Linked DNA regions of Tamandua tetradactyla. The protein of the gene in region 2 interacts with the protein of the main gene of each other region in a pairwise test. Links are inferred from orthologs where the notes say so. Each region holds a gene or a part of one and is shown on either strand. Other genes may lie near its edges. The genes, in order: SCAND1, PGBD1, NR4A1 and ZNF446.

Region 1 (5,994 bases), on a different chromosome or scaffold from region 2:
GGTTAAGAATAACTGAACTGGTTTTTTGGATTCCCATCTTAAGGCCCCCTTCCATTCTAACTTTCCACGATTCTAACAGATCACTAGCATTCCATGATTCCAACAGAATAGATGGTAGAAATAGATTAGAGATCTAACATTCCATGATTCCAAATATCACAAGGGTTCATTCCCTTTCTGAGAGGATTAGAATTCAGTTTTTCAGCTTGGAATTCTAGGCTCTTCATGATTTGACCTCTACTGATTTTCTAATCTCATCTTTCACACCCTTCGCCAGACTCCAAACACTCCCAGTCTAGCCTGCAGTTTCCACAGTTCTATTCCCTCTCACTCTGTGCCTTTGTACAGACAATGACTTCTACCCGGATTGTTCTTCTTGAGTCTCAGCGCGAAAACCTCCTCTCCAGTGAGGCCTCCCCATACCCCTCACCCGGCAGCAGTGTGGCATGCTCCCTTAGCTCTGGATATTGTTGGCTGTTACGACCCAGCAAATAGGACTGTTGGTTTACTTAGTGCAGCGTACTGTCTAAGGGCCCACTGCCCGAGAACCAGGCAAGGTTTAAGCCAACAGGCATAACTGACACTAGGATCATGTGCTCCCACCTCTGAGAAGAAGAGAGAGAAATATCAGCTCTAAGAAAAACAATTACTATTGCATTTACTAATGCAAACAGCACTCTGTTTCAAGTAACAAGGGCAAGTTGTAGGGACTAAAGTCAACTGGAACCAAGTATCTTGTCTAAACGACTCTCTACTCAGCTTTATCTGATTGTTGGTCAAAAAGAATGTGAGTCCAGTGTGCTCAGCTCTTTCACTTTTTCAAGTAAAGCTGGAAATTCAGATTTGTATGTGAATCTTTTAAATTGTTAGTAACTAAGTTTTTAAAAAGTTAAAGACCATGTCTTGGAGTGGCTAGAGGGAAGCACCTGAAACTGTACAGCTGAGTTCCAGTAGTTCATGTTTCTTGAAGATGATTGTATTAATGATATAGCTTATATAGTGTGACTGTGTGATTGTGAAATCTTCTGTCTGATGGCTCTTTTATTTAGGATATAGACAGATGAGTAAAAAAAATATGGATAAAAATAAACGAATAATAGTGGTCAAAGGTTAAAATAAATAGATGGAAATACTGGTGGTCAGTGAGAGGGAGAGGTAAGGGGTATGGTATGCATGAGTTTTTTCTTTTTTCTTTCTTTTTTCTGGAGTGATCCAAATGTTCTAAAAAATGATCATGGTGATGAATACACAAGTACGTGATGATATTGTAAGCCATTGATTGTACCCCATGTATGAAATGGTTGTATGTTAAGAATGTTTGTATGTTTACATCTCAAGATTTATCAATAAAAAATATTTTTTTAAAAAAAAAGTAAAGACCCATTTCGATGACTTTCAAGATTTTGGGGCCATTCCATGAGGATCCACTTCTATCGGAAGTAGCACATCCAATGTGAGGGGCAAGTTTTATGTCAGGGCTACTGCGTGTTGATGGTTGTTCAACATGCCCACCCATCCTGCAGAGTTCAGAGGGACAGTGCAGGTCATACAGAACCTATCAATCAGGACCTCTGTCCCTTTCTTGCCCTCAGTTTCCCTATCTGTAAAATGGGGACGTAAAACTTATGTGAGTCAGCTGTCAAACAGAATTCAGTATCATTTACCAAAAGGCTGTCAAAATTATGTACTTTCAGAAACAAAAGGACAAATACTGTATAGTTTCACTGATATGAACTGACATTAGTAAATAAACTTGGAATATTTAGTTGGTAACAGAGACAATCAGGAGATACAAATAGGGTAAGATATTGGGTAATTGGAGCTGAAGGAATACAGATTGTGCAACAGGACTGAATATAAAAACTCAGAAATGGACAGCACAATACTACCTAACTGTAATACAATTATGTTAAAACACTGAATGAAGCTGAATGTGAGAATGATAGAGGGAGGAGGGCTGGGGGCACAAATGAAATCAGAAAGAAAGATAGATGATAAAGACAGATGGTGTAATCTAGGAATGCCTAGAGTATATAATGATTGTGACTAAATGCACAAATTTTAAAAATGTTTTTGCATGAGGAAGAACAAAGGAATATCATTACTCCAGGGTGCTGAAAATAGATGGTAACTGATATTTTAAAATTTCAACTTATGGGTGAGACTAAAGCAAAAAAAAAATGTTTATTTGGTACAAAATTTATATTTTGACTAGTGCATTTCCTAATATAACTTATGCAGATAGCTTAATTGAACACCGTAAGTACACGGAACCTTGTGTAGGACATGAGATTTTGTTGGTTTGTCCAGAGTGATGCCCCGATGAATCCCAGAGTGATCTGAGCAGTGAGTGGAAAAGTATTTGCAAAGTCTCCTTCGGGGAATGGTGAGAACGAGGAAAAATTCAACCTCCCCAAGTTGAATTCTTGATCTTCTCACAAGCAGTGTGGACAACCAAAGCTATAGGCTGAGCCCCAGTATTGGGGTTTGTTCATATGAAACTTAAGCCCACAAAGGATAGGTCTAGCTTACTTAAAATTAGGCCTAAGAGTCACCCTCAAGAGAACCTCTTTTGTTGCTCAGATGTGGCCTCTCTCTCCAGCCAACACAACAAACAAACTCACCATCCTCCCCCTGTCTATGTGGAACATGACTCCCAGGGGTGCGGACCTTCCTGGCAACGTGGGACAGAAATCTTAGAATGAGCTGAGACTCAGCATCAAGGGATTGAGAAAAACTTCTTGACCAAAAAGGGGGAAGAGTGAAATGAGACAAAGTGTCAATGGCTGAGAGATTCCAAACAGAGTCAAGAGGTTATCCTGGAGGTTATTCTTTTTTTTTTTTTTTTTTTTTTTTACATGGGCAGGCACCAGAAATCAAACCTGGGTCCTCCGGCATTGCAGGCAAGCATTCCTGCCTGCTGAGCCACCATGGACCACCCCTGGAGGTTATTCTTACACATTAAGTAGACATCACCTTGTTATTCAAGATGTAATGGAGAGGCTGGAGGGTACTGCCTGAAAATGTAGAGCTATGTTCCAGTAGCCACGTTTCTTGATGATGATTATATAATGATATAGCTTTCACAATGTGACTGTGTGATTGTGAAAACCTTGTGTCTGATGCTCCTTTTATCTACCTTGTCAACAGCTGAGTACAACATATGTAATAAAAATAAATAATAGGGGGAACAAATGTTAATTAAAATAAATTTAGTCTGAAACGTTAGTAATCAATGAAAGGGAGGAGTACGGGGTATGGTATGTATAATTTTTTTTTTTCTGTTTTTGTTTTATTTCTTTTTCTGTTGTCTTTTTATTTCTTTTTCTGAATTGATGCAAACGTTCTAAGAAATGATCATAATGATGAATATACAACTATGTGATGATATTGTGAATTGCTGATTATATATGTAGAATGGAATGATCATATGCTAAGAATGTGTTTTTTTCTTGTCATTTTTTTTAATTCTAAAAATTAAAAAAAAACTTAAAAAACAAAAATTATGTGCTTTTACCTGGATCATCTCATTGATGACTCAGTCACTTCTATGAGGAAAGTTGTGTTACATCCACATTTTACAGATAAGAAGTCTTAAGCACAGAGATAGCAAGCAATTTACCTAATGAAAACCACAAACATTTAAAACGTTCTTACTTTCCATTTAATCTCTCAACAACTCTGTTAAGTAGGTACTATTGTTGTCTGGGGATATAAGGCAAATAACGCAATGGGAATTCAACAGGGCAGCCTGACTCCAACACTAGCCCAGCGCTGTTCAACAGAAATAGAATGCAAGCCATATATGGAATTTCAAATTTTCTAGTTAGCCACATTGAAAAAATAAATGAACAGGTGAACTTAATTTTAATAAAATCGTTTATTTAATCCACTACATGCAAAGTATTATCATTCTGACAAGTAATCAATATAAAAAAATAGTTAAGGTCTTTTACCTTTTTCTTTTGGAATTAGGTTTTTGAAATACAGCATGCAGTTTACTTTACAGCACAACTCAGTTTGAACTGACTATATTTCGAGGGCTCAGTAAACACACGTAACCGCTGTATGGGGTAATGCGTTTACGGTCCACTTACTAGCCTGAAACTTACTGGTTTTGAGGACACGCAAAAATTGTGGTTCTTACATATATTATGTCATCCTTGCAATGGGGCAGGTGCTAGTGCCGTCCTCCTCTGAAGAATGGGGAACTTCCGAGTTAGAGGACTTACCTGAGCCGCCAGCGGGTAGGCGGCGGGGGCGGGACTCGAACTCCCTGTCCTAAGCCCCGACCGTCGGCCCGCCCCGCTCACCCACCGGCCACCAAGTGAGGAGGCGCGCCCGCCGGAGAAGGCGCTGGTCTTTCGCACGCCCAAGTGGTCGTAATCGCTAAAGATCCCGAAAGCGACGTCTACGTCGTCCCCTTCGGACTGTTCCTCCTCCTCTTCTATCTCCTCTTCCTCCACCTCTTCTTCCACCTCCTCCACCATTTCCTCGTCTTCCTCAGAGGAAACATCATTTTGCGGAGTACACAGCACGCTTCCACTGGCTCTGTCCACCGCGGTCGCAGCCGCCTCCGGCGTCGACCTGCGAACGCGAGGTGGCGCCCCATCCCGGAGCAGAGACGCGGCGCTCGAGAGGTCGAGCGCCGGCAGGACCATAGAGAAGCCGAAAGAAACTTCCGTTTCCGGTTGCCCCGCGCTTCGCCGGTACAGGTAGGTTCCCCGCGCTCCCGCGTCCGCCTCCCTCCAAAGTGGCGCGGACTGTGCCTTTACCCGAAACATCTCTCTCTCTCTACCCCGCCCCCGTACCGACGCAGTGCTGAACCCACAGTTGCCACACAAAGAGTGACGCCCAGGGCCGGAGTCATGGCGGCACCGTTGGAGAAGCAAGGAGCCAACCCGAGCTCGGTCACGGAACGTAACTTGGCGGCTTCTTCTCCGATTCCAGTGGCCTCACCGCCTGCCCCCGAGCCCTCCAGCCCCAACGCCGCACCCCCCGAAGCGATTCCTAGGCCTCCCGCGACGGCCTCCGCGGCCTCGCAATTGCCCATCGCGCCTCAGTCCCCAGGCCCGGTGCCGCCTGCCCAAGCCGCACCGCGTTCCCTGCCGAGGCCTGGCGGCGCCGGCTTCGGCCCGGAAACCTTCCGCCAGCGCTTCCGGCAGTTTCGCTATCATGATGCGGCCGGCCCACGGGAGGCATTCCGGCAGCTGCGGGAGCTTTCCCGCCAGTGGCTGCGGCCGGACATCCGCACCAAGGAGCAGATCGTGGAGATGCTGGTGCAGGAGCAGCTTCTCGCCATCCTCCCCGAGGCGGCGCGGGACCGGCGGCGGGGCCGCAGCAGCGATGTGCGCATCGCGGGTTGAGCCACCGGACTGCGGACGGCCGGACCTGGCGCTCCCTGGACTGGAATCATATCAAGGTCCGGGGGCCTGGCCCTGCCTTTCCACCCCGCGTTAATGAAAAACTGGCTTTGACAATTCTTGTGGTCTGGTGTGTCTTTTCGTTTGTCCTTTACAGGGTTTATTTTAGCGAGTTTATATCTCCACCTTTCTAACTAATAGTGAAACAAAGTTGGGAGCCCACGAGACGGCTTTGGTTTCCTACCCAGGGGGCCACCGTTGGCTTTTGTGGTGCCCTTACATGTTGGCTAGATTTCAGGGATTGTTTTTCCTGTGCTCCCTAGGGCCCCACAAGGTTGTGTAATGAGGATTAGGAACAGGCTCTTGAGTTACATTTGCCTTAATATATCTTACTAACTAGAATTCCACTTGAAAAGATAAATCATAGGGATAATAAATCCTGTTAAATAAACGATTATGAGATCCTGGAGGCAACGTGGTTTGAGTTATTAAATGATGACTGGCTACCAATTTGCTCCAGACCCTTTGCTCCAGACCCACGTGCTTCCCAGCGGCTATTGGGGTGTTTTAATGTGAAGCATTTTACTGCAAGCCCTTCTGGAGAAAGACTAATGTTTATGAGTTTTGGGTT
Region 2 (7,311 bases):
CCGGCCGCCGCAGCTTGGGGGAGTGCCGGTCCAAATTGCCCAGCTGGCCCGAGACGCCAAGCGTGGCGGGAGGGCCCCGCTATCCAACGTTCCCAGTCAGACCGGGGAGCCACGTGTGTGGAGGGGACCCCAGTCGCCAGCCGCCCCGGCCGGGAAAACGCGCGCCCCTCGGGTATCTCACCACAGCGGATTCTCCCTGCCCATTCAGCCGTTCCAGAATAGGGTATGCTGTCTTTTTGGTCTCTGTTGTGGCTCCGGGAGCTGTTTCCTATTGTTTCTGTTTCTTAAGTTGCTTTTCTGGAGGAGGAACTAAGACCCGCGCCTCTTACTAAGCTGCCATCTTCTCCGTCTGATAACCTTATTAATTACACTTCTTTCCCCCTGTTGGTCAGAATGGCATTGTTGATCCCATGGTACCAGGGCCAGGCTCATCCCAGGGAGTCTCTCCCATGCTGCCAGGGAGACTTTTCCTCTGGGTTTCATGTCCCACGTAGTGGGAAGGGCAATTATTTCCCTTGCAGACTTAGAGTCAGAGAAGCCACATCTGAGCAACAAAAGAGGTTGTCCGGAAGTAAGTCTTAGGCATGCCTGTAGATAGGCTAAACTTCCCCCCTATACATGTAAGCTTCACAAGAGCAAGCCTCCAGATCAAGGGCTTGGCCTATTGATTTGGATGTCCCTAATGTTTGTCACAGTATTAGATAATTTCCTAATGGTAAAGTTTAATATTTCCATATTTTTTCTCCCTTTCCTCAAGGGACTTTGTCAGTACATTTTGATTATCTGCTTACTGTATTTTAGGATGTATACAGGCATTACATTAAACTATACAGGATTAAAGGCCCTCATTCTTATTCTGGGTTCCCTGTATTTCAGTTGTTCAAGTGAGCTGTCCAGACAGGTTCTTATATTATGTACTACAGAAAAATTTAGGTTCCAGACAAAATAAACCTTTTTTCCTTTGGTGTCAAAGAGTAGGTATGGTTCTAAAATGTAGACAATGTCTTCTTTACCCCTGTATTCTGAATTACCTTAATCCCAATCTGATCAGCTTCATTCTTATCTCTAAATATCAGGTTATATATATATAAATATATATAACATATATAACATATATATATTTATATACATATATAAAATAGCCTCTTAAAATCCAGAAATAACAATTACCACTCTGGACTGAATTTGACTGCTGTAGGAGCTTACAATCTAAATGAGATAATATAATATTTGCTCTTTTGTTTCTGGCTCATTTTGCCTCAAGGTTTTGGTTTTTTTATAAGTCCATTTTTGACAAAAAAAAATTATCAGCTAAGGAGTCTTACTATGTGCAGGTTCGTGAATACATAATAGGATGTATTTTGACTCTGATCAGGCGTAGTCACTAATCAGGTGAGTCCCTCCCTCCTCCAAGTATACACCGATTCAAAGACATGTATCAGCAGTGGGTGGATAATACTTCATTCTTCTTCAGACTCACTCGAGTAGTTATAATCAAGAATGCTAAATCCCCAAGTATCCAAGGGCCTACTCCAAGGGATGGTGGTGGTGCCATTTTCTGAGTTCTTTTTTGTTATGCTGTGTTTGAGAGGCTTTTATAGGGTGTCTAGATACCAAATAACCAGAAGGAAACATGTATCAGGCACTCTTGATAGATCTGGACTGAAAAATAAGGAAATCCTCAGAATAAAGACAGTAATTGAAGTCACAAACACTCCTAACTTCTGGCCTGTCTCTCTCCTTTTGTTCAGTGTCTTACTTCTTGAAAAGAGTAATTTTTGCTCACTCTCCATTTTCTCATTTACCCATGTCAATCTGGCTTTTCTCTCCATTTCTCTACTAAAATTGCTTTCAAAGAAGTCATCAGTGACCTCTGTGATTTTGAATCAAGTGGATAATAAGTCAGGTCTCAGTTTAATTTACTTTCTTATAGCATTTCCCACTCTTGATCATTGCCGTCTTATAAATCCATTTATAAATCAATGAATTCCTATTCTTCACAATTATTATCTCATTTACCTCAAAACATCTCTGTGAAAGAGTGAACCCTGATGTAAACTATGGATTGTAGTTAACAGTATAATAATTTGCATCAGTGGTAACAAAGGTACCACACTAATGCAAAACCATTCTCTCTGTAAAACCTTTTCACCATATTTATACCTGACCACCTTTCACTTTTCTTTTAAGACTTAGAAGGATTCACCTCCAAGCTTTTTCAGATCTGCTGTGAGGAATTAGGTATCTTACCTCTGTGCCTACTAGCATCCTGTGCATACCTTCACAGTAAAACTCAGTGCACTGAATTGCAATTGCTTGTTTCCCTGAGGTGTCCTGAGAAGCAGAGAACTGTTTGAGGCTAGGGGATTGTCTTTCACCTCTGTGTCCCCAGCATCTAAGAGATTCTGGTAGGTAGTAGACAGATTGTAAATGAGATGAGTTATGCAAATCCTTGTGTTCTTTTAGTTAATTCTATTGATTTAGCTTTAGCTCATATATCAATAGTATACAGTCAGTTCTTATTATTTGCAGATTCCATATTTTTGAATTCACCAACTTGCTAAAATATATTTGTAATCCCCAAATCAATATTCACAGTGCTTTTGAAATCACTTGTGGACATGCATAAAGAGTGAAAATATGAGTCACCCTGTACACGTTCCAGCCAAGATCAAGCAAGGTGATGCTTTCCTTGTTCAGTTCTCATACTAAAAACGTTTTTGTTGTGTATTTGGTACTATTTTTTTTGTATTTTTTTAATTTTTGCTTAAAGTGGCCCTGAATGAAAGCTGTCTTATGTCCCTAAGCACAGGAAGGCTGTGATGTACCTTAGAGAAAATACATGTGTTATATGAGCTTTGTTAGGGCATGAATTACAGTGCTGTTGGCCATGAGTTCAATGTTAATGCATCAACAATATATATCAAATAAGGTGTCTTTAAATAGAAGTATGCATAAAACAAGACTATGTGTTATTTGGTTGATGAGAATATGGTGACCAGAGGCTCACAGGAACCTAACTCTGGATTTCCCTTAGGAGAAATGGTTCAGTTTTTACTAATTCTCTGTTCACAACAACTTTATAGACTACAACTACTGCAAATAATGAGAATTAACTGTATTTATTTTGTGTCTTTGTGTCTTTCCCCCCAACTTTTTGAGAAATTTCAAATTTACAGAAAAGTTGACGTACTACGAGTAGTACCTATTTACCTTCTCATTTAGCAGTAGTAGTGAATTTCCTGCTATATTTGTGCACTCTCTCCACACCAACCCACTCATACTTTTTTCCTGAAACATTTGAAGATAAGTTTTAGCATGCATTCTCCTGAGAATAAAAATATTCTCGTATTTACTACAAAACTGTTATCCCTCAGAAAAGACTAAAAAGAAGTTGGCAAACTTTTTCTTTAAAAGGCCAGACAGTAAATTTTTTTTGTATTTGCATGTCATAGAATTTCTGCACCTACTTAACTTTGCCATTGCAGTTCAAAAGCAGACATAGATAGTATATAAACAAATGGGTATAGCTTGTGCTTCAGTAAGACCTTATGCTCAACAAGATTTGAGCTGTTTTTGACTTGCTGGACCATAGTTTGCCTACCCCAAATCATAATATTCAAATTTCCCTAATTTATAAAATATATATATATATATATATATATATATTTCACACATTGATTGCATTTAGTTTTCTCTGTAATTCTAGACCTGTACCCTCTCCATACCTTTTCTTTATTTTTGTGGAATTGTTGGTTTTGAACAGTCCATGCCTCTTGTAGAAAGGGCTACATTCTGGATTAATTCAAAAGCTTCCTCACTATTAAATTCATGTCAAGCCTTTTAGAAAAATTGCTACATAGGTAATGAGGCACATGATGTCTGATTGTCTTGCTACTTGTAATTTCCTAAGTTTGATCATTTGGCTAAGTTTGTGACTGCCAGATAATTCCAGTTTTTCCTTTTGTAACTAGTAAGAATCCATGTGGTGATACTTTGATACTGCAGGAATGTCCTGGACCCCTACTCCATTCACATAGTGGTTTTAACAATCATTTGTGGTACTTCACTAGATGATTTACGGCTATGAAATGATGAGTTTGTATATCTATTATTCCTTCTATATTAGCTGGCAATCTTCTATAAGAGAGTTTTGTCATTTTTGTATGTGCCTTTTTTTAGGAATGGTTGTTTAGAAGAGATTAAAAAGGATAGTAGCTTTTGGAAATGCATCAACCCAAGAAGGGAATATTGCTGTTGTTATTACTACTGTTATTACTGTTTCTGTAACTCTTATTGTTACATGTTTAGGACTATCCCTGAGGAGACAATCCAAAGAAAATTCTCTAAAACGGAGAAAGCAGTTTAAAGCTGGAGATGGCAACAGTAGAGGTGAGTGCTCGCCCCCTGGCTCCCCAGAATCTGAAGGAGGAGGGGCTTTGGGTAGTGAGGGAGGATCACTGCTCTGCTTGGGAACAGGAATTCAGGCTGCAAAGAAAAAGCAAAGACCTTGGTCAGGAGATGTTGTGCAAACAATTCAGGCAGTTCCACTATGAAGAGACCTCAGGACCTCGACAGGCGCTGAGCTGGCTCCAGGAGCTCCGCCTTCTGGCTGTGGCCTGAGATCCCAGCAAGGAGCAGATCCTGGAGCTGCTGGTGCTGGAGCCGTCCCTAAGCATCCTGCCCGAGGAGCTGTGGGCCCAGGTGTGAGAGCATCACCCAGCGAACGGGGAGGATGCAGGCACTGTACTGAAAGGTTTGGAGCCAGAGCTTAGAGAAGCAGGACAAGAGGTGGTAAAGGTCAGGTTTGTTCTTTCACATAAAAGCAGGAAGTGAGACCTCTGACCAGTGGGAGAATTGCTAAACTTGTTTGTTTAGTTTCTTTCCAGTTTGGCTGTTCATTTCTGGGGGTCTCACCTCAACCTTATCTGTTCTCTGCTGTGAGGAGGCTGAATTGAATAATTTCCAGATTCCTCATCTCCTTTTCTTTGCTCCTTTAGGTTTGTCTTTGTTCTTTTTTCCAACATTGAAGTGTTTTTCTAAAGAGCAGTTCCCTCTTAAGCCCTCCTGTACCTAATTGTCCCTAGGACCCAGACCAGACAAAGAAACAGAAAATACCTGTGGAGGAGATGGCCCCTGTGAGAGCAATGCAGGAGCAGCAGGTCCAGCCGAAGTGTGAAGTTCAAAGGCCTGAAAAAGAGAAGGGTGAGAAATGGAGAGCATCTTCTGTTGTGTGAGATGTGGTGGCCATTGCGTTCCCCACTTGAGGCCGATTTAGCACCCTTGATACTGTGTTTGGAATCAGGTTTATTGAGGTATAGTTTACATACAGGAAATTTCACCCTTTTTAAGGGTACAGGTCAGTGAGTTATCACAAATGTGAAATGATAAGTCATATGATCATGACTGGAGCAGATTTGGAAATCAGATAGGGAAGTAGCTTGCTTTTCTTCCTTTTACTATAGAGATAATTTTTCTATAGTATTTCCTTTTGCAATAGAGAGGATAGAGAAAGTAGTGTTAGTTTCTCACAGAAGGCAAACAATCTCAGCCACAGGCTATATTATTCATTTTCTTATTATCTCCTTAAAATTATTATAAGTGGCTACTGTCTTTTATTTCTAAATGTCATCAGGATTTTTTTTCTCTACTATATTTTCTTTGTCACTAAAATTCCTCTATCCAATTTGTATTCCTTAAATTTTTCTTTTCTTCCTTCTATTCTGATAGAGCCCCACTTCTCTTTTTATTTTAGTGTCATCATAGTACTCCCATTGATGTTAAACTTAACCACCATAATTTAAACACAAATTCAGTAAGGTGGCTCCCATGTTTAAAATCTTTCAGTGCTGGGTAATGTTATTTTCTCTACTTTTTTTGGATGTTGGAAAAATTCTATACTAGAAAGTAAAAAACAAAAGTAAGGGGAAAAAAACACCACCTTCAGAGACTCCCCGTTGCCACTGACCAAGGCCTCACATAGCATGGGCCGCTATTGGCTCCCTACCCAGCCTTGTGTCACTAGGGTGACCAGTTTGTCAAGACTGTTAACGTCCTGGGAAACCCCTCAGTTCACACATGCTCAAACTGTGTTCCCATCATGCTGAGGTTCATTCCATTTCCCATGTGCTTCCTATCTCTTCTGAGTCATTGCTGCCTTGTTTCTTTTGTCTGGAACACTTTTTCCTCACTCTTCCTGGCTAATACATAGTCATTCTTCAGGACCTATCTTCGATATCGTTTCCTCTGTCTTTCCTTAAGATCCTCAAGGCTGAGTTAGTTTTTCCACCTATGTTCCTAGAGCCCCAAGATTTCTCCTGTGGTAGAACTGATTATATTATATTATAGTTGCTGGTTTGCTTTCCCCCCTCCCCAGGCATTACTTCCTCTTTTCTCCCAGCAGGGATTTTGTTTTGTTTCCTGAGTCAGTCCCTGGCCTAGAGTAGACACTCAGTAAATGTCTATTCAGTAAATGGCTGGTATTATATATAAAACTGTCCTTTACCTACTAGCTACTTCCCTATTTAATTTCCACGTCTGCTTCAAGGGTTACCTTCTGTGAGCCTTCTGAGTAAAGTAGCTGAAAGAGATGGACTTAACTTTTCTGAATAATCTTGCAGGAATTTATGCCATGTAATGATAGGTATGTATTTTAAATATGAAGAATTAATGTGATGACACTATATTCTTGAAAATATTCTGTATCTTTTGGATCTTATTGAATATTGTATTTTATGTCCAAAGTTCAGGTTAGTTTTTAGTTTCAGAGTTCGCTTCCCTTTTTGTTTTTATTCCCTCTCCTTAACTCATTCTTACCCTCATGAGGCAACTTCATTCTCAGTGATAAAATTAGTCTACATTTCTTCATTTTCAGTTAAAGGGTTATCCCTTTGCCATACCTTTCTTATGAATTCCAGTCCTTAACTAAGCTAGCTTTTCTACTCTCCTTGTGACAAACCATTTTCAAAAATGTACATCTGTACCCTTTAAGATGGTTTGTTTGTTTGCTAGCTTATGTATGTGCATGCATGTATCACAAAATAAAAGGCAACCTCTGTTAATTTCTTATGTATCTTATATAGTTTATACAGATGCAAGCATACATATTTTTCACTTTTCAAACATGTTTGATTTTAAACTTTCCCTCCTAGTTTATAGATTCCTTTCCCTAAGCCTAAATAAAACATGTGATTGGTGGTATATCTTAATATTTCAGATAAGGAGATGAGGACTGAGAATAGAAGGCTGGTTGTAGAGACAGACTTTTGTGGATCAGTGAAATCATCTGGGAAATTATCTGAGCCCATAGAA
Region 3 (7,553 bases), on a different chromosome or scaffold from region 2:
TTTCCCCATTCCAAGACTCACCAGCTTCCTCCTCACAATTTGACCTTCAGAGATCCTGGGCAACCACAGGAAAGGAGAATCCTGGTTTCGGTTGGGGGCCCTTCCTGGTGGCCTCGGGGAGCCCTGTGGAGAGAGACGTGACTGCCCTCCCCAGCTGCCCTGTACCAGCTGAGAAGTGTCTGGACGTGGAGCTCTCTCCAAGCCAGTATGTCCTCTTCTGTTTATATAGCAGAAACCAGAGCCGGCCTCTGGGGATGGGGGGGAGCCAACGCGGGGCCCTCTTGGCTAGGGCCTAACTTTGGCCCAGGTCAGCAAGAACTCAAAATAGTCAGCTGACGGGAGCCCCGGTGTGAGCGTGACCCTGGGCCCATGCCCAGGCCTGGCAGACAGGTGCCCACGTCACAAGACCAGCGGCTCAAACACTCCCAGGGCCCCTGCGAGCAGCCCCTTGGGGTGGCCTTGGCAGAGTATCCAGCACGGGAGTTCCATCCAATCACCACCATCACCCAGACAACAGGGTAAACACAAGAAGTTCTGCCCACCCAGTGCTTCTGTGTAGCCGGAGGGAAAGCCAGGAGCTTGGGAATCCAGGTCAGGCCTGGGGGCAGAGGTGGGGGCCAGCGGAGGGAAAGTGCCTGGCCACTGCTGTCATCCTCCCTCACGTGCTCCCCAAGGCCACATCTCTGGCTGACCAGAGACACCTGCCTCTCCCACTGACCGTAATTCCTCTCTCCGCCCTGGCCTGAGGTGGCTGGTGCAGAACCTGCTGCCAGCCAGAGGCCAGGTGCACACCCAGCCCAGCCCCTGGAACAGGAGACCCTGCCTCCCCGCTTCCACCTAGGCTCAGACCGGACACCCTGTCTTCCTCCCTCTGCACATTGAACACCAAGTTCACACGAAGCAACAGTGTTTGGAGGGGTTGGGGGAGGAGATATTGAGCCAGCTCCTGCTTCATCTGGAGGGCTCTCAGTCCTGAGGGCTCTGTTGCTCAGTGATGCTCTTCAGTACAGGGGAAGGAGGAAAGGGACCACAAGGACCCTGTCCAGAGTCCCTGTCCCTGTGCCAGGTTGAATTCCCAGCTCCCTCAGGTGGCCGTCAAGACTCAGTTCCTTTAGCCCCATCTCAGCATCTCAGATCCCCCAAGGAAACAGCAGGTGGACTGTCTCACCCTCACCCTCACCCTCACCGACAGACTAGCTTGCTCCTTCTCTGGAAGCACCCTCAGCAATAAAGATGTGTCCTCCACCATTACACCGGGCTTTCAGGCTGGCCCTGAGACCCAGGACACCTGGATTCTAGGCTGCGCTCTATACATATGCCCTGTGGGACCTTGAAAAGTCCCTTCTCCCCTCTGTAATTCAGTTTCTTCATCTGTAAGAGGAGGGGGTGAGCAAGAGAGCCAAGGATTCCTCTAGCCATAGCCACAAGTCTGGGATTTTCCCTCTCAGGGATGTCGGATGAATAGTGGAGGGTTTGTGCCTGCCCTTTGTTAGCAGCTATGATCCCACCAAGATTCCCCCCATCCATGAGGCCACTTCCTCATACCACGGACTCTGCAGGCCCTATAGTCCTGCCATGATGGGAAGGGGGGACAGTCGGCAATCTTTCTGGGGAGGGGAATCTCAGCCTTCCCTTCATGCACTCCCTCTGGAATGAGGTCTACAACATGGAAACAGGCCAGATGCCCCCACCCCACCCCCACCTCTGCCAGCTTTGCCCTACTACACTCCCAGCCCAGACCCAAGTTCCTCAACCCCATCCCATCAGCTTCTTGGAACCAGGCAGGTGCTATGCTGGGGGCACCTGTCAGGCTCCTCCCTACCACCCGTCTGTGGCACCTGGCCCCAGAGTCCTCCCAGCCTATCCTGCTGAGAAAATCAGGCTTCCCCTTTTCTCGCCCCCATGCACTCCCACCACAGAAGAAATCAGATCTCCTGATGCTGTTTAGCACCGTGCCTGCCACCTCTGCAGGGCTTCCCCCTCCACCCCCCAAACCACATCCACCTCAGGCAGCTCCACACCCACCCCTGCCCCCCAAACCCAACTGCACAGGGGGCCCAAGGGTGTACAAATGACAACAGTAGAGCACTTACCACCCTCAGTGGACCAACAGGCCTTGGCCAACACTCAAACCATCCCTTCGGGGCCTGGCAGGCAGATTCAGGACACCAGGGAGGAGCCGGGGCTAGCCCCTGTGCATGGTGGAGGCCTACGGAAGAGTCAATGTCAGAAAGGAAAAACCACCCATCCAGCAGGCGCATTCCCTGGAGACAGCCCAGCCAGGAAGCACAGGAGCGGGTACAGCAGCAGGACTCAGCCACAGGGGCAGACAAGCCAGCCCGAGGTCCCCGCCTGGGCTAGTTGTCAGGGGCTGGGGGCCCACACTCTGGGAAAAGCGCTCCCGGGATATGAGGTGTGACCAGCTGCTGCTGATGGCACCTGGGGTACCTCAGAGCCATAGATCCTTGCCAGTGCGCAGCCCCTCAGCCTCTTACCCCACTCCTGAGTGAGGGTGCCTCAATCTAGCTCCCAGCCCCGTGGCATGCACAAAAGGGCCTTCTGTAGGCAGAGAAAATGGTGACAGTGTGACGACAGAACAGGACACATCCCTCTCTCCTTCAGGGGCTTTAGCTTGGCCCCCAAAGCCTCAGGGCCTCCAAAGGGCACAGCTCCATGCCCCTGTCTCCTGGCAGCCCAGCCTTCTAACCTCTGTGATGGACTCCAGTCCCCAATGGGAAGGCCTAACTGAGAGCAGAGTGGTTAAGAGCACAGATGCTGGATCCCTGACTGCCTGGGTTGAAATCCCAGCTCCATCTCCTGTAACCTTGGACAAGTTATATAACCACGCTGTGTCTAGGTTCCTCGTGTGTCAAAATGACAATCAGAGAACTGTCGTCAGTCCTAAAGTGAGTTAATATGTGTAAAAGAGTGAGAACAGTACTGAGTACACATATGTGCTATATAAATATTAGCTTCGTGATTAGTATAAATTAAATAAGGACACACAAAAGCTACACCACCAGACCCAGGCTCCCACTGCCAGCCACTCCTGGACACCTGGCCTCTCCATCACGCTTGATGCCAACTGTGTGTCCCACCCCCACCTTCTGCTCACCAGCCAACCCCACAGGCGCCCTACCTCCCTTCCCCTCTTCCCAACCTCATTTAGCCCTCTCCTCTTCCAGATGGGGCCCAGAGTGAGAGCAGGGTAGGCCCAGGATTGGCCCTCACTGTTATCAAGTTGCCTTTCAAGCCAAGATGAAGTTTGTGACAAGGGAAGTAGGTGTTTCCACGATGGGAAGAAGAGGGAGCAAGGCTGAGGGACCCAGAGGGCAGAGGGCAAGCAATGGGCTTCCACCCCCTCCCTACCTCTGCTCCAGGGTCCACAGGCTAAGGGGGACTCCTCTGGCCCGCAGTGCCCATACTTTTCCCCTCACCCTCCATGTCCCTGTGGATGCAGTGGGGAGCAGGGAGTAAAGGCCACCAGAGAAGAGGGAGCAGAGGGCAGTCTAGAACATCTAGAGGGCTTCCAATCCAAACTGAAATCGAAATCACATTTCAGACCTGCCCCAGCCCATGGGCTGCCCTTCCTTCCCAGAATGACAATATCATTCTTCCCCATCCCAATCAGGCCTAGGGGTTCCCCAAACCTTCCCTTTCCTCCCTGCCTGCCTGCAGCTGGAGGAGAAGGGAGCAGGTCGGGGACAGCCAGACCCAACCTGAGAGCTCAGGTCTCCATCATGTGTATCTGAGAACAGTGCCTAGAAAGTGATTCAAAACCTCTTAGCACGACCACCTGATACCATCTCCTGCCACAGATCAAAATTTCCTTCCCAACAGTCATTCCACAAGCATTTATTGAGAACCTACTGTGAACCAGGCAGGGTGCCATGAACAGTAGGAAATCTAAGAAGATCAAATTACCTCTACCCTAGGGGGGACAGGCATAGAATAAACCAAGATCAGTTATAATCAATACTGTACAGAGGGTAGACTGAAAACTGGAGGAGGAGAAAGCGATGCCCCCAAAATGGGATGAGAGTCCCCTCATCACCTTATCTCCTCTCCACTCACTGTGCTCTAGTCACATGGGCTTTTTTTCCTACCTCAGGACCTTTGCACAAGCTCTTCCCTCTGCCAAGAAAACCACTGTTCCAATGTCTGCATGACTGGCTCCATCAGGTTCCTATTCCCATTTCACTATATTAAGAAGCCTTACCTCCTACCCTATTAATCATTTTTATTTTTCCCATAGGACTAATGTTTATTTGTTCACTTATTTATCCTCTGTCTCCTGAACTAGAAGGTAAATAAGAACCTGTCTGTCTCAATCACCACGGAGTCTTTGGTCTCTAAAGGAGAGCTCAGGATGGATAGGTGCTCAGTCAATAGCAGTGTAAATGGGGGCAGGAGCCACAAACACCTGTACTGGAGCCAGGCTGGGAGGACAGTTGGCCAGCCATCTGCAAAGTGGTGGGGAAGTCATTCCCACTAAGAAACCTCCTGTGCACAGCTCACAAAGCTGTCCTTTCCACTTTGGGGCAGATCGGAGGGTTCTTCCCTCTGCTGGGTCACAGCCCCAATTCCAAAGCCCCCAGCCCCAAATCCCAGTTTTGCCCCCTGCATGGGCCCAGCCAGAACCTCCTTCATTTTCTTCCTATCAAGAACTTATTTGAGTCTTTTCTTATCTAAACTCCAACTCCCACTCACAACAGGGTAGACCTTCTGCAGCCCTGGTGGACTTCTGGACACGATCTCTGCATTGGTCAATGTCCCCACCTAGAAATGACAATACTATTATTATGAACAATTATAACAGCAGCTGATATTGTCAAATACCATGTGCTAGAAACAATGCTAAGCACTTTACATGCATTTTTTTCATTTCAGTCTCACAATGTTGAGGAATGGATTATCATTATACACATTTTATCGATGAGGAAACTAAGGCACAGAAATGTTAAGCAACTTGCCTGACGTCACATAGCTAGGAACTGGCAAAGCTGGGATTAGAACCCAGGGAGCCCGACAGAGGATGCCAGGGCCAGGTACTGCCCGGCCACCACCACCACCAGTGTACCCAGTAGAGGCTTCAGTTTGATAGTGCCCACCCACGGAACTGGTAGGAACTCGGGCCCTGCGGTGCTGAACAGTTGAGCCAGGCCTCCCATCAGGCCTGCACTCCTGAGCTGATTTTCTGAACTCCTGCCCAGGCCCAAATATTTAGCATCAGTCACATTCATCTTGTTAATTCTGGCCCATTTTCATGCGGTAATTCAGAATCTTGATTTTATCCTACTGTACACTCGTCATTCCTCTCAGCTCTGGGTCATACAAAAGTTGGCTGGCTTCCTAAGACCTCTTACCCCAAGTCACTGATCTAAATATTCACTTGTAGTGGGTCTAGGACCAAGCCTGTGGCCACCCTGTTCAGGTTGATTTCAGTCTCCTAATCCATCAGCATCCTTAGCTTATAACTGATCTGAATCTACCCACCTCTGCCCAGTCTGCATTTTCCCAACATGCCCATAATACCAGCCCCCAAACCCAGATTAACACTCCACTGTAAACGGGACGTGCCTCTTCTGCAACATTTCTCTCTGCCCACCAAGCCACCTATTAAAAACGGAGGCGTAACGGGGATTTGAAGTCAAGGACCGGTGCCTTTGCCTCAACACACTGCAACCTTTGCCTAGAAGCGCCGCTCGAACCCCCAAGTATAGGTCGGGAGGGAGGTTGCTGCAGAAAAAAGCGCTGCCCTGGGAGATGCCGGACCCGAGTCCGAATCCCAAATTCGCTCCTGACTCCATAAGACCCTCTTCAGCCTGGGTGTCCTGACTCAGTCCCACGAAGGAGCTGTCCGGGACAATTCCGGTCCCTCCCGTCTCGGCCTCCTGGCAGCCGAGCTCCCGACCTCCTGGAACCCGTTCTCCACGGCCGACGGGGAAATGGAAGGAATTTCTCCCGCCTGGCCATCTCCAGCGCCCCTCGTGAGCCAAACCCCACCCTTGGCGGGCTAGGGAGAGAAAGCCTTGGCCGTCGCACTTGAGAACTGACTCGGAGCCAGCAAGTTCCGCTGGGAATCCAGCCCCCCAGTGCAGCCCCGGTTCCCGGCTTCCAAGCAAGACTCCCAGCGTGGCCCCAAGCCCACCCCGGCGCATCCGCACAGACCTCCCGATGCTCCCTCTGCTACCACTTTATCCCTTTCCAAGCTGTCCCCCTCACCTTGCAGGGCGAGCTCCGCTCGCCTCTCCACCCCCGCTTTCCGGGGTCGCGCACCAGCTTGCCGGGAGCTGCTCTGCACTGCAGGGGCGCCCATCCCGGGAGGCCGGGGGTCGCGCGCACCACGCTGGGGCCCCCACCAGTTCCGCTGCCGCCGCTTGGCGCTCCTACAACCGCGCCGCAGCCTCTCGGCGCCCCCCGCCCCCGGGAAGCCCCCCGCCCAGCAGTTCCGGCCGCCGCCGCGCTCCCCGCCCCCGCAGCCGGCGGCCGCCCGCGCCGCAGTCCCAGCCTCGGCGCGCCTTCCCCCCGGCGGGCGGGCGGGCGGGGACCGTGACGCGCGCCCATTGACGTCTCCGGAATCCCGGCGGCGGCGGCCGACGCAGCCTCATCAATGGGGCTAAAAATAGAGGCGCCCGGAATAGCCGCGAGCGCCCCGCCCCGCGGCACCCCCCACCCCAACACACACACATTGCACACGCTGTTACATAACCCGGCTCGCTGCGGCCGGGGGGCGGGGTAGGGGAGGCTGTTTTTCAAGTGAGGGTTCTGAGGCCTTGCTAACATCTCCCGAGGCAGCTGAACCCCGAGCCGAGCCGGGGTATAAATAAAGTTACCCAAATAAACTTACCTGGGGCGTCCCCTGAGGAAGAAGTGGAAAAAATGAGTCCCAGAGAAGCTCCGCGGCGGCCCAAAGTCACACAGCAAATTGACTGGCTTGAGAGGATAGAACCTCAACCTCTGAGCCCTGGGCACACCCACCAATGTCTCTTAGCCTGCCTGTCACCCCAAGAGCAAAGAACCCAGCTAGCAGGGCACCCAGCTCCCAGGCAAGAAGGTAGCTAAAGAAAAAGGGGACTTCCTGGGAAGGCGAAATTTCCCCTTAACAGAAGTAGTCCCAGATGTGGGAACGCTAGTAAGGGCAAGGCCTAGGAGGTGAAGTCACTGATCTGGCTTCTCCTACTGTCTGTAAGTAGAGCAAGTCCCTTAACTTCTCTGAGCCTCACTCAGTCTCCTTACCCATGAAATGGGGATGATAATATTATCCACCTTTTCTGGTTACTGGGAGGATTGAACAACTGCAGAGATAGATGCTTTTTACATGGTAAGTACTCAGGGTTAGCTACTCCCTCCTTGCTGTCCCCTTGGCATCTGACTTCCCACAAAGCACAGGAGTGTTCAGTGCAGGAAATGCACAGAGTACCCTGACAAAAGGGCTGGGAAGCCCACCTCCACTGACCATAGTCTCCAGGCACAGTCACTTCCAATAAGAACCTTTCTCAGGGTGGAGGTGCTTGGAAGGTTTCTCTCTCCCACCTGACTGGAGCACTTTT
Region 4 (7,191 bases), on a different chromosome or scaffold from region 2:
GAGAGTGTGGGAGGGGCCTGCAGACAGGCGGGGACTGCCGGGCCAGGATGAGGCGGTGAGGTGGGAGACACGGCCTGGGGGTCCTCACCCAGGGAAACCACCGTCCCGTACTTCTCCAGCATCGCGTCCCAGTACAGCTCCTTCTGCGAGGCATCCAACTGGCTCCACTCCTTCTGCGGAAGGCACCCTGCTCACAGCCAGCCCATCCCAACCTGGACACCGCGCTGGGCTCTCCGGGGGGCAAGAGGGCTAAGGCTGGAACCCAGACACGTGGTCCTACCTCCCCGCCTGGCTACACTCGCCCCATGTTCTACCGAAGACCCCTAGACCAGCCCTGGGGACCGCCAGCGCCCCAGGCAGCAGGGACAATGTGGCGAGCCCCACCCACCCCTCCTGCCACTCCAGCCTCAACAGTCACACACAGGGGCAAGTCAGAGGACATGCAGGACCCCCCCAGGCCCCAGCAACTCGCCACCTCCCTCCAAGCCTCTCTGCAGGTGGCAAGCGCTCCTGGGCCTGGGGGCTGCTATGGCTGTTTAGACTTAAAGAAGCCCCCAGGAAAGGGCCGGCTGTGAGAATGTCCCAGGAAGGGTGGCATCTCTGTGCTTGCCATGCAGAATTCCCAACCGGGTCAGTCACCTCACCCCCCTCGATGCCAGCACAGCGCCAGGCACCTGAGAGCCTCCCGCCTCAACCACTGGAGTTCCAGCTACTCTAACCAGTTTCTGTTGCCTGTGCTGAAATCCTTTGCCATGGAAGAGAGGCTGCTGGCCTGCCTCCCTGTCCCCAAGGGCCTGCTGACAGCGGTCCCTGCTGACAGTGACCCAACTCCCAGGCAGCGAAGAACCAAAAGCTGCTGGCCTGGGGTCCAGGAGAATTGGGAGGATGTGGAGCGGCCACCAGGGACATACTCCTCCTACCTGGGACCTCTGAACCTCCCCCAGGGCTACTCACCTGAATCCTGGGTGGGAGACAAGACCCAGAGGCTGGCTCTTCGCTTCCAACACATCCCTCAGAAGGCCGGACTGGAAGCGGGGGCCCTGGAGGTCCTAGGGAGCAAGTTGGGCAGAGGGGTAGGGACTGCCCATGACAGCGCAGGGGAGGGCAGGTGTTGATGCTACTACTCCAGCCTTCCCCAACGGCCAGGCAAAAGGCACTGCCTGTGCCAGCCACATGGTGGGCAGCAACCCTATGTCCCTCCCCAGGACCCCTACTCCGTTCCATCCAGGAGGCCCCAGCCCCTGCGCAGGGCTCCCTCACCCATGTCCTGCCGGTTGGCATCTGGCTCCTCCTTCACTCCGAGCTGGCTGGGCTTCTCCCCTGTGCCCTGTGTCCCCTCCCGGGGGGCTGCCTCAGCAGGCTTCACCATCCCTGAGGGGTGGGGGCTCCCCAGGGGTTCCTCTGTCTTCTGGGCTGCTGGGAGCACCTCCAGGCCCAGCACATGAGCTGTGATCTGTGGAAGAAGAACTGAGTCACAGGGCCCCTGACCTCGGTCTGTCCCTCCAAAAAACTAGCACTGGCCACACTCACCCAGCCCAGCAGCTGCCCTGGGTCATGCTGCAGCCCCTCTACCAGAGCCGTGGCCTCCTCGGGGCTGTCTGGGTGCTGCTCCCGCACCCAGGCCTGGATCTCGCGGGGCAGTGCGCCCAGGAACTGCTCCAGCACCAGCAGCTCCAGCATCTGCTCCTTGGAGTGCGCTTCGGGCCGCAGCCACTTGCGGCACAACTCGCGCAGCTGGGCCAGGGCCTCGCGGGGACCTGCCGCTGCCTGGTAGCGGAAGTGTCGGAACTGCAGGCGCGCGGCCTCGCGCTCCTCCAGGGTGGCCATGGGGTCCACTGGGGACAGGCGCAGGGGACCCAAGGGGGATGGCATTTCTGTGCTGCGGGTCTCTCTTGGAGTCACCAGGTGGGACCTGCAGAAGGGGAAGGGTCAGGATGCCAGGCAATGGGCTCCCGGCCAAGCCCAGAGATCTGAGACTAAGACAGAAAGAGGACCCTGGGGCCACAGGTAAGGCCTGGGAGGCTTCGTGGACGGGAGGGGGTCATGGGAATCAGAGAAAAAATAAAGCCTTGGGGCCGTATGTCCAGGATAAGGTGTCCAGGGAGCTTCCAGGAAATTGCACACGCTTCAGTACAACCATGGACTGTTGGGAAATAATGGCCCGCAGGTGAGCAAGGAGAGTCCCCACCGGCCTTGGAGATTGGGCTGAGGAGCCTCAGAAGGTGTTGGGCAGAACAGGGAGGAGAGTGAATATTTGGGCAAGAGAATGAGGGACAGGCAGATCCAGAGTGACTGGGCGCTGGAGGGGGCAGTAGGTGGCATGTGCGGGCCGGCAGGGCAGCGGTGGGAGTGGCGCCCGGAGATGCCAACCCAAACGGGGCATCCTGAGGGGCTGAATGTCCAGCCAGAATATGGAACACGGGCTGGAGAGTCAGGTGCCCCCAGGGAGACGACGGGACGCCGTTCTTGTAAACACGTGAACTGTGGGTGACTCGCAAGGCCTGTGCGTGTGAAAACGCAAAAGCAAAACAAATCAGAGCCACACGCTTGGCGTGGGGTTGGGTCAGCCCCAGCACCCGGACTTGCAGAGAGGGCTTGCGGGCGGGAACCACCCCCACCAAGTCTTTGCTCTGCTCTAAAAGGAGGGATGGGTGCAGTTTTTAAGCTGAGTTTTAAAAAACTCTCCCCTCGCCCAACTCCGGACGGGGGCGGAGAGATGAGCCAGAGGAGCCCCCAGCCCGGCCTTTCCGGGGGCTCTGCTCCCGAGGGCGCCCGAAGCACCGGGGAGGGGGTTGGTCGTCACGGAGAGGGGCCCAGGGCTGAGGAGGGACGGCCTGGAAAAGGGCGCGACGCGACCCAAGAGGGAGCTCCGGAGCGCGCGAGCCAAGAGTCCCGGGGGGAGTGGGCCGGCCGCGCCGCCCAGCCAGCCCGTGCTCACCTCAGCCGGGGGGCCGGCGCTCCACCGCCACTTCCCGGACCCGGGACTGCCCGACCACCCGTTCTACGCAAGCGCACCGCCCTTCCCGCCCGTTGCCATGGCGACAGCGCTCTGGCCAATCCCGCGCCTGCTCGAAGGCCCCGCCCCCTTCGAACTACATTTCCTATGAGCCTCAGGTAGAACGCAGAGGCCTGGCCTTGGCCGGTGGGCGCGAATTTCTAGAGCCCGCTCGTGCTTGAGAGGCGCGTGCACGCGGGGCCTGCAGGTCACAAAGTTTGGGAGTCCCATCCCTCTCCGGCGGCTCTCTCCCCGCGCCCCCGAGCCCCGGGCCTCACCAACACCGACCCGGACGCTGCTTTGGGACGCTGCGCACGTGCCAGACGGGCCCGGCGCCGATTGGCAAGCGCGTCTGACGCTTGCCCAATCAGAGCCGGCGCTCCTCCTGCCCCGCCCTAGCGTCTCCTTGGCAACCGCGGTTTCCGCGGAAACGAAAAGCGTCCCGTGCGTTCCCGACAGCCCGAGCTGGCTGCAGCGCAGCTTCGGGGGCATGTGGGTCGCGGGGCAGGTGGAGCGGGCTTGCGGAGACCGGCCTGGCCGCGGTGTTTCTCGGTCGCCCCGGGAGGTTCTCCGCCCCAGCGTAGGGCGAGGAGGCGCTGGGCTTCTTTATTCGCCCCCCCGCGGAGTGCCACATGGATGTGAGGGAACTCGGTTGGGCGCCCATGCACTGCTTCAGCGACTACCTTGGCCCTCACGTAGGCCACGACCTTTCAGGACATTAACAAATACATGACATTCCAAAATCATAGTGGAAACGGGACGGTGCAACGGTGGTTCACTGGTAGGATTCTCGCTTGCCATGCTGGAGACTCTGGTTTGATTCCTGGTGCCTGCCCATGCAAAGCAAACAAACAAACAAAAACCTAATAATAAGAAATAAGTAAGTAATAGAAAACAAAATAGTAAAAACAACATTGTTTCACTGACTTTGGAAAATGGGGAAAGGTTTAAAGTTAATCTTACCGCTCAATTTGCCCCTGTTAAGATTGGGATGCTTTACTTTTTGTTTTTGTTTCTCTATTTATACATTTTTAATAAACATTTAAAGTCTAACTTATTTTCGGTGAATACGACACTGTAGGAAACACAGGCTCTTTGCAATTAAGGGAAGACTTAGAGACAAATGCGTTTGGAAAAGAAAAGACACTTATTTGCCAAGATGAGCTTCTCTGACTCTAGGGAGATTGACTTCCAAAATGAGAACACATTAGTTATTTAAAAACTAAAATTAAACTAAACTAAACTTGCAGAATTACCAAGGTGATCAAGGTTGTATTGTCTGTAACGGCAGAAAAGGAGCACCCCGGTCATGTGATTATCCCTCACAGTCTCTGATGTCTCTGGACATCAGCCCTGCAAAGAGAAAGATGGAGATTTCCATTCAAACTTTTGGTGAGAGACTGATTTATTTCGGGGACTAAAACTAGTTTATCTCAGTGCATAATTAAAATCTGACTATGAGATGGGATCCTTTTTTCACCTGTATATCAAATGGCTGAACCATGGTTTATCTGTCCTATCCTACATTGCATTTGTCTGTTTTGGCTTCCTCTGATTCCTGGAACTCCCTGGCTGCTTGCTTTATGGTGAAAAGCAGTGATCTTAAACACGGATGGGAAGTGCTGAGTCCATGGGTGGGTGGGACTTGCTAACTCTGAGCCTCCCTGTGGAGTTATCAGGGTGAACTCTCCCGGGTGGGGGTGGGGGGAGGATCTCAACAGGAGTATCTTGAGATCTCTCCTCTTCACTATGCAGATTCCTCAGAAATGCATCTTCCACGTCCACCAGGTGGGGAGAGAGCCGGAGATGGAACTGCTTCTCAAGTAGCTCTCCCTGTCTTCTTTGTTGGTAGTCCCTCTCCTATTCCTGAGGTGCTGGAGCTGCTGGTTCACAAGCCTTCTGGAATTTTGCCTGGTGGGACCTCCCTGTACTCCCCTTAACGCCAACTCAGTACTTGGCTTTTTCTAAATCAGTGACAGTTCCCCCACCTGCTTCCAGCTGCAAAATGATATTGCCATTGACTCCATCATCTTCAAACTTATGGGCTTGTGTTTTAAGCACTCCCTTTTCTGTGGTTTTAGAGGTGTTTCTGAGCTGAGTGAGAGGCATGTGTTCAGCCCACCATCATGACCCAGAAAGCCCAGGGACACTTTCCCAGTAAAGGCCTGTTCAGGGTAAAGGAGGGCCCACCCTGGCAGGTCAGGGCCCAACCTGACAAGAGTAGGTGTGTATGGGGGGGACAACTGAGGACCCAAGACATGAAGGTGAAGCACAAGTGGGATAGAAAGAGCAGGCGGGTGCTCATGGGTGCTATTGGGAGTTGAGGCAGTGGACACAGACTTAACCTGGGTAAGCCAAGGGGCAGCAAAGGCAGAAGTGCAGAGACAGGAAGGAGCTCTACATTCGGGGGTTGGTGGCTGGTAGGGAGAGAGGAAAGGGCAGCTGAGCCCAGCCCAGATGTCGACAGAGGGTAAGGAGGACTGAGGACAAAGGCCTGGCTTCAGGAGCTTCCATCCAAGGCACAGAAAAGTTCCCATATGACTCACTCTAGGACCTGCTCTCTGATCTATAAGGTGCCTCTGCCCCCAGAAGGGGTGGGGGCTCCTCTAGATTTCACAGCTGTGCAGATGGAGGCTGGTGGGACCAGCCCAGTGAGGGAGGCCAGACCGGGGTGGGAGGTGGGCAAGACTGAGGTTTAGACAGGGCGTGGGAGACAGGATGGTGGGCCAGGGACTCCCGGAGCCTTGGGGAGTCAGGTGCCTCCCACTGCTGGGCCCACTTTCCTTGAAGGGCTGCGATTCACGGGGCAGGTGGGTCTGGCCTGGCTGGCAGGTAGGGGTCAGGCTGAGTGCTCCTTGTGGACAGGGATGGTTCTGCAGTCTTGGGGCTGATGAGTCATGAGTACCACTGAGCTGGGGTCAGCCTTATGCAGTCCTCACAGGTACACTCCACTCCATCAGCACCAAGCAATGTGCAGCTCTGCCTCGGTTCTCTGCCCACCACTCTCTCCCTTGCCCTGGGGCTGAATCATGGTTCATTCCCAGGAGAGGGGCGGCGATAGGGCCACCACCCCACGGCCCATATGGCCACTGAAGGAACACAGGCTTCCTAGCCCCTCCGTAGGCAGCAGACCAGGCCCCGGGGCCTCTCTAGCCCGAAGCCGAACCCCTGAACCTTTGTGACAATGACACATATCAGTGGCAGGCCTGCAAATGTTGGTTTAATGTCTGCATTGTGCTAGTGAAACTGGTGTCAGGCCGTTATCGTCCACACAGAGCTATAAAGAAACCTTTATTAAGGGAGCATCTTTAGACTCTGGACCATACCTTGGAGCTGGATTTCTGCAAAGCCATCAACACTGCCCACCAAAAAATCACAGCTTATATCCATTCCAAGCTGTGAACCCTAGTCTTGCCCCTCCCCTCTCGATCTTAGCACTCACTGCCTGAGATTACGGCCCCCCCAGCTAGGACACAGCAGCTGCAGACCACAGGAAGCAAACTGGGCTACCACCACCTGGCTCAGTGCCCAGGCTCACCGGGGGAAGGGTGTCGGGAGCGTGTCTCTGGAGGCGGTCCCCCACTGGGGCAAGTCCTCCCAGTTTCTGTCTGCTCTCCAGCACCTCCCCTGCATCAACGCCAGCGCCTCCGATCAGGGCGTGAGAGTGCCAAGGCTGATCCTGAGTCTGACCTGGAACAGCAGAGTGGGAGAGATGTGGCCGCTGCTGAGGCCCCAGGAGTCCTTCTTCTGGACTGTTTGTCCAGTGCAGAGAACCACAAGCACAGGCCCTGGCCCCACCTTCCACTAATGTGGTCAGCGCCAGGGCCGGGGGTCCCAGGCTAGCATGCAGGACGGACGGGGCCTCCACGCTGCAAGTGGTGCCCCGCAGAGGACGGGCTCGGTCCGGAGGGGTCAGGCCTCGGGGGGCTTCGGGCCCGGGGCCAAGCCTGCGGCGGAGCTCTGCTCCGCACCCCTTGCCTGCGCAGCCTCAGTGGCGGGGGCCGGAGTCTTGGGCGGCGCCCTGGCCCGGGACCGACGCGCGGGCTTCTCGCCGGTGTGGGTCCGCTGGTGATGGAAGAGGCCCGGGCGCTCCCGGAAGGCGCGGCCACACTGCGTGCACACGAAGGGCTTCTCGCCGGTGTGGATGCGCCGATGGCTGAGCAGCACGGCGCCCTTGGCGAAGGCCTTGCCGCAGT

The links.
Region 1: the proteins of PGBD1 (region 2) and SCAND1 interact in binary tests that used the Homo sapiens proteins (3 or more experiments, as listed by UniProt). The two-hybrid records come from large-scale screens. The link is inferred for Tamandua tetradactyla from reciprocal best matches to the Homo sapiens genes PGBD1 and SCAND1.
Region 3: the proteins of PGBD1 (region 2) and NR4A1 interact in binary tests that used the Homo sapiens proteins (3 or more experiments, as listed by UniProt). The two-hybrid records come from large-scale screens. The link is inferred for Tamandua tetradactyla from reciprocal best matches to the Homo sapiens genes PGBD1 and NR4A1.
Region 4: the proteins of PGBD1 (region 2) and ZNF446 interact in binary tests that used the Homo sapiens proteins (3 or more experiments, as listed by UniProt). The two-hybrid records come from large-scale screens. The link is inferred for Tamandua tetradactyla from reciprocal best matches to the Homo sapiens genes PGBD1 and ZNF446.

Annotation. Positions count from the first base shown.
Region 1 is NC_135327.1:16,517,489-16,523,482, forward strand, and holds SCAND1 (SCAN domain-containing protein 1), read left to right. Parts: upstream 1-4,819; 5' UTR 4,820-4,868; coding exon 4,869-5,366; 3' UTR 5,367-5,480; downstream 5,481-5,994. Other genes in the region: CNBD2 (cyclic nucleotide-binding domain-containing protein 2), read right to left, coding at 4,233-4,784. UniProt on the Homo sapiens protein: May regulate transcriptional activity.
Region 2 is NC_135331.1:194,888,210-194,895,520, reverse strand, and holds the start of PGBD1 (piggyBac transposable element-derived protein 1), read left to right. Parts: upstream 1-4,309; 5' UTR 4,310-4,377; coding exon of another isoform or gene 4,378-4,392; intron 4,393-5,087; coding exon of another isoform or gene 5,088-5,205; intron 5,206-7,216; coding exon of another isoform or gene 7,217-7,311. Other genes in the region: ZSCAN26 (zinc finger and SCAN domain-containing protein 26), read left to right, coding at 4,378-4,392, 5,088-5,205, 7,217-7,311.
Region 3 is NC_135333.1:113,415,495-113,423,047, reverse strand, and holds the start of NR4A1 (nuclear receptor subfamily 4immunitygroup A member 1), read right to left. Parts: upstream 3,012-7,553; 5' UTR 2,094-3,011; intron 476-2,093; exon of another isoform or gene 124-475; 5' UTR 22-123; intron 1-21. UniProt on the Homo sapiens protein: Orphan nuclear receptor. Binds the NGFI-B response element (NBRE) 5'-AAAGGTCA-3'. Binds 9-cis-retinoic acid outside of its ligand-binding (NR LBD) domain.
Region 4 is NC_135342.1:176,425-183,615, forward strand, and holds the start of ZNF446 (zinc finger protein 446), read right to left. Parts: upstream 3,019-7,191; 5' UTR 2,939-3,018; intron 1,913-2,938; 5' UTR 1,873-1,912; coding exon 1,531-1,872; intron 1,454-1,530; coding exon 1,261-1,453; intron 1,050-1,260; coding exon 955-1,049; intron 174-954; coding exon 89-173; intron 1-88. Other genes in the region: uncharacterized protein LOC143658493, read right to left, coding at 6,908-7,191. UniProt on the Homo sapiens protein: May be involved in transcriptional regulation.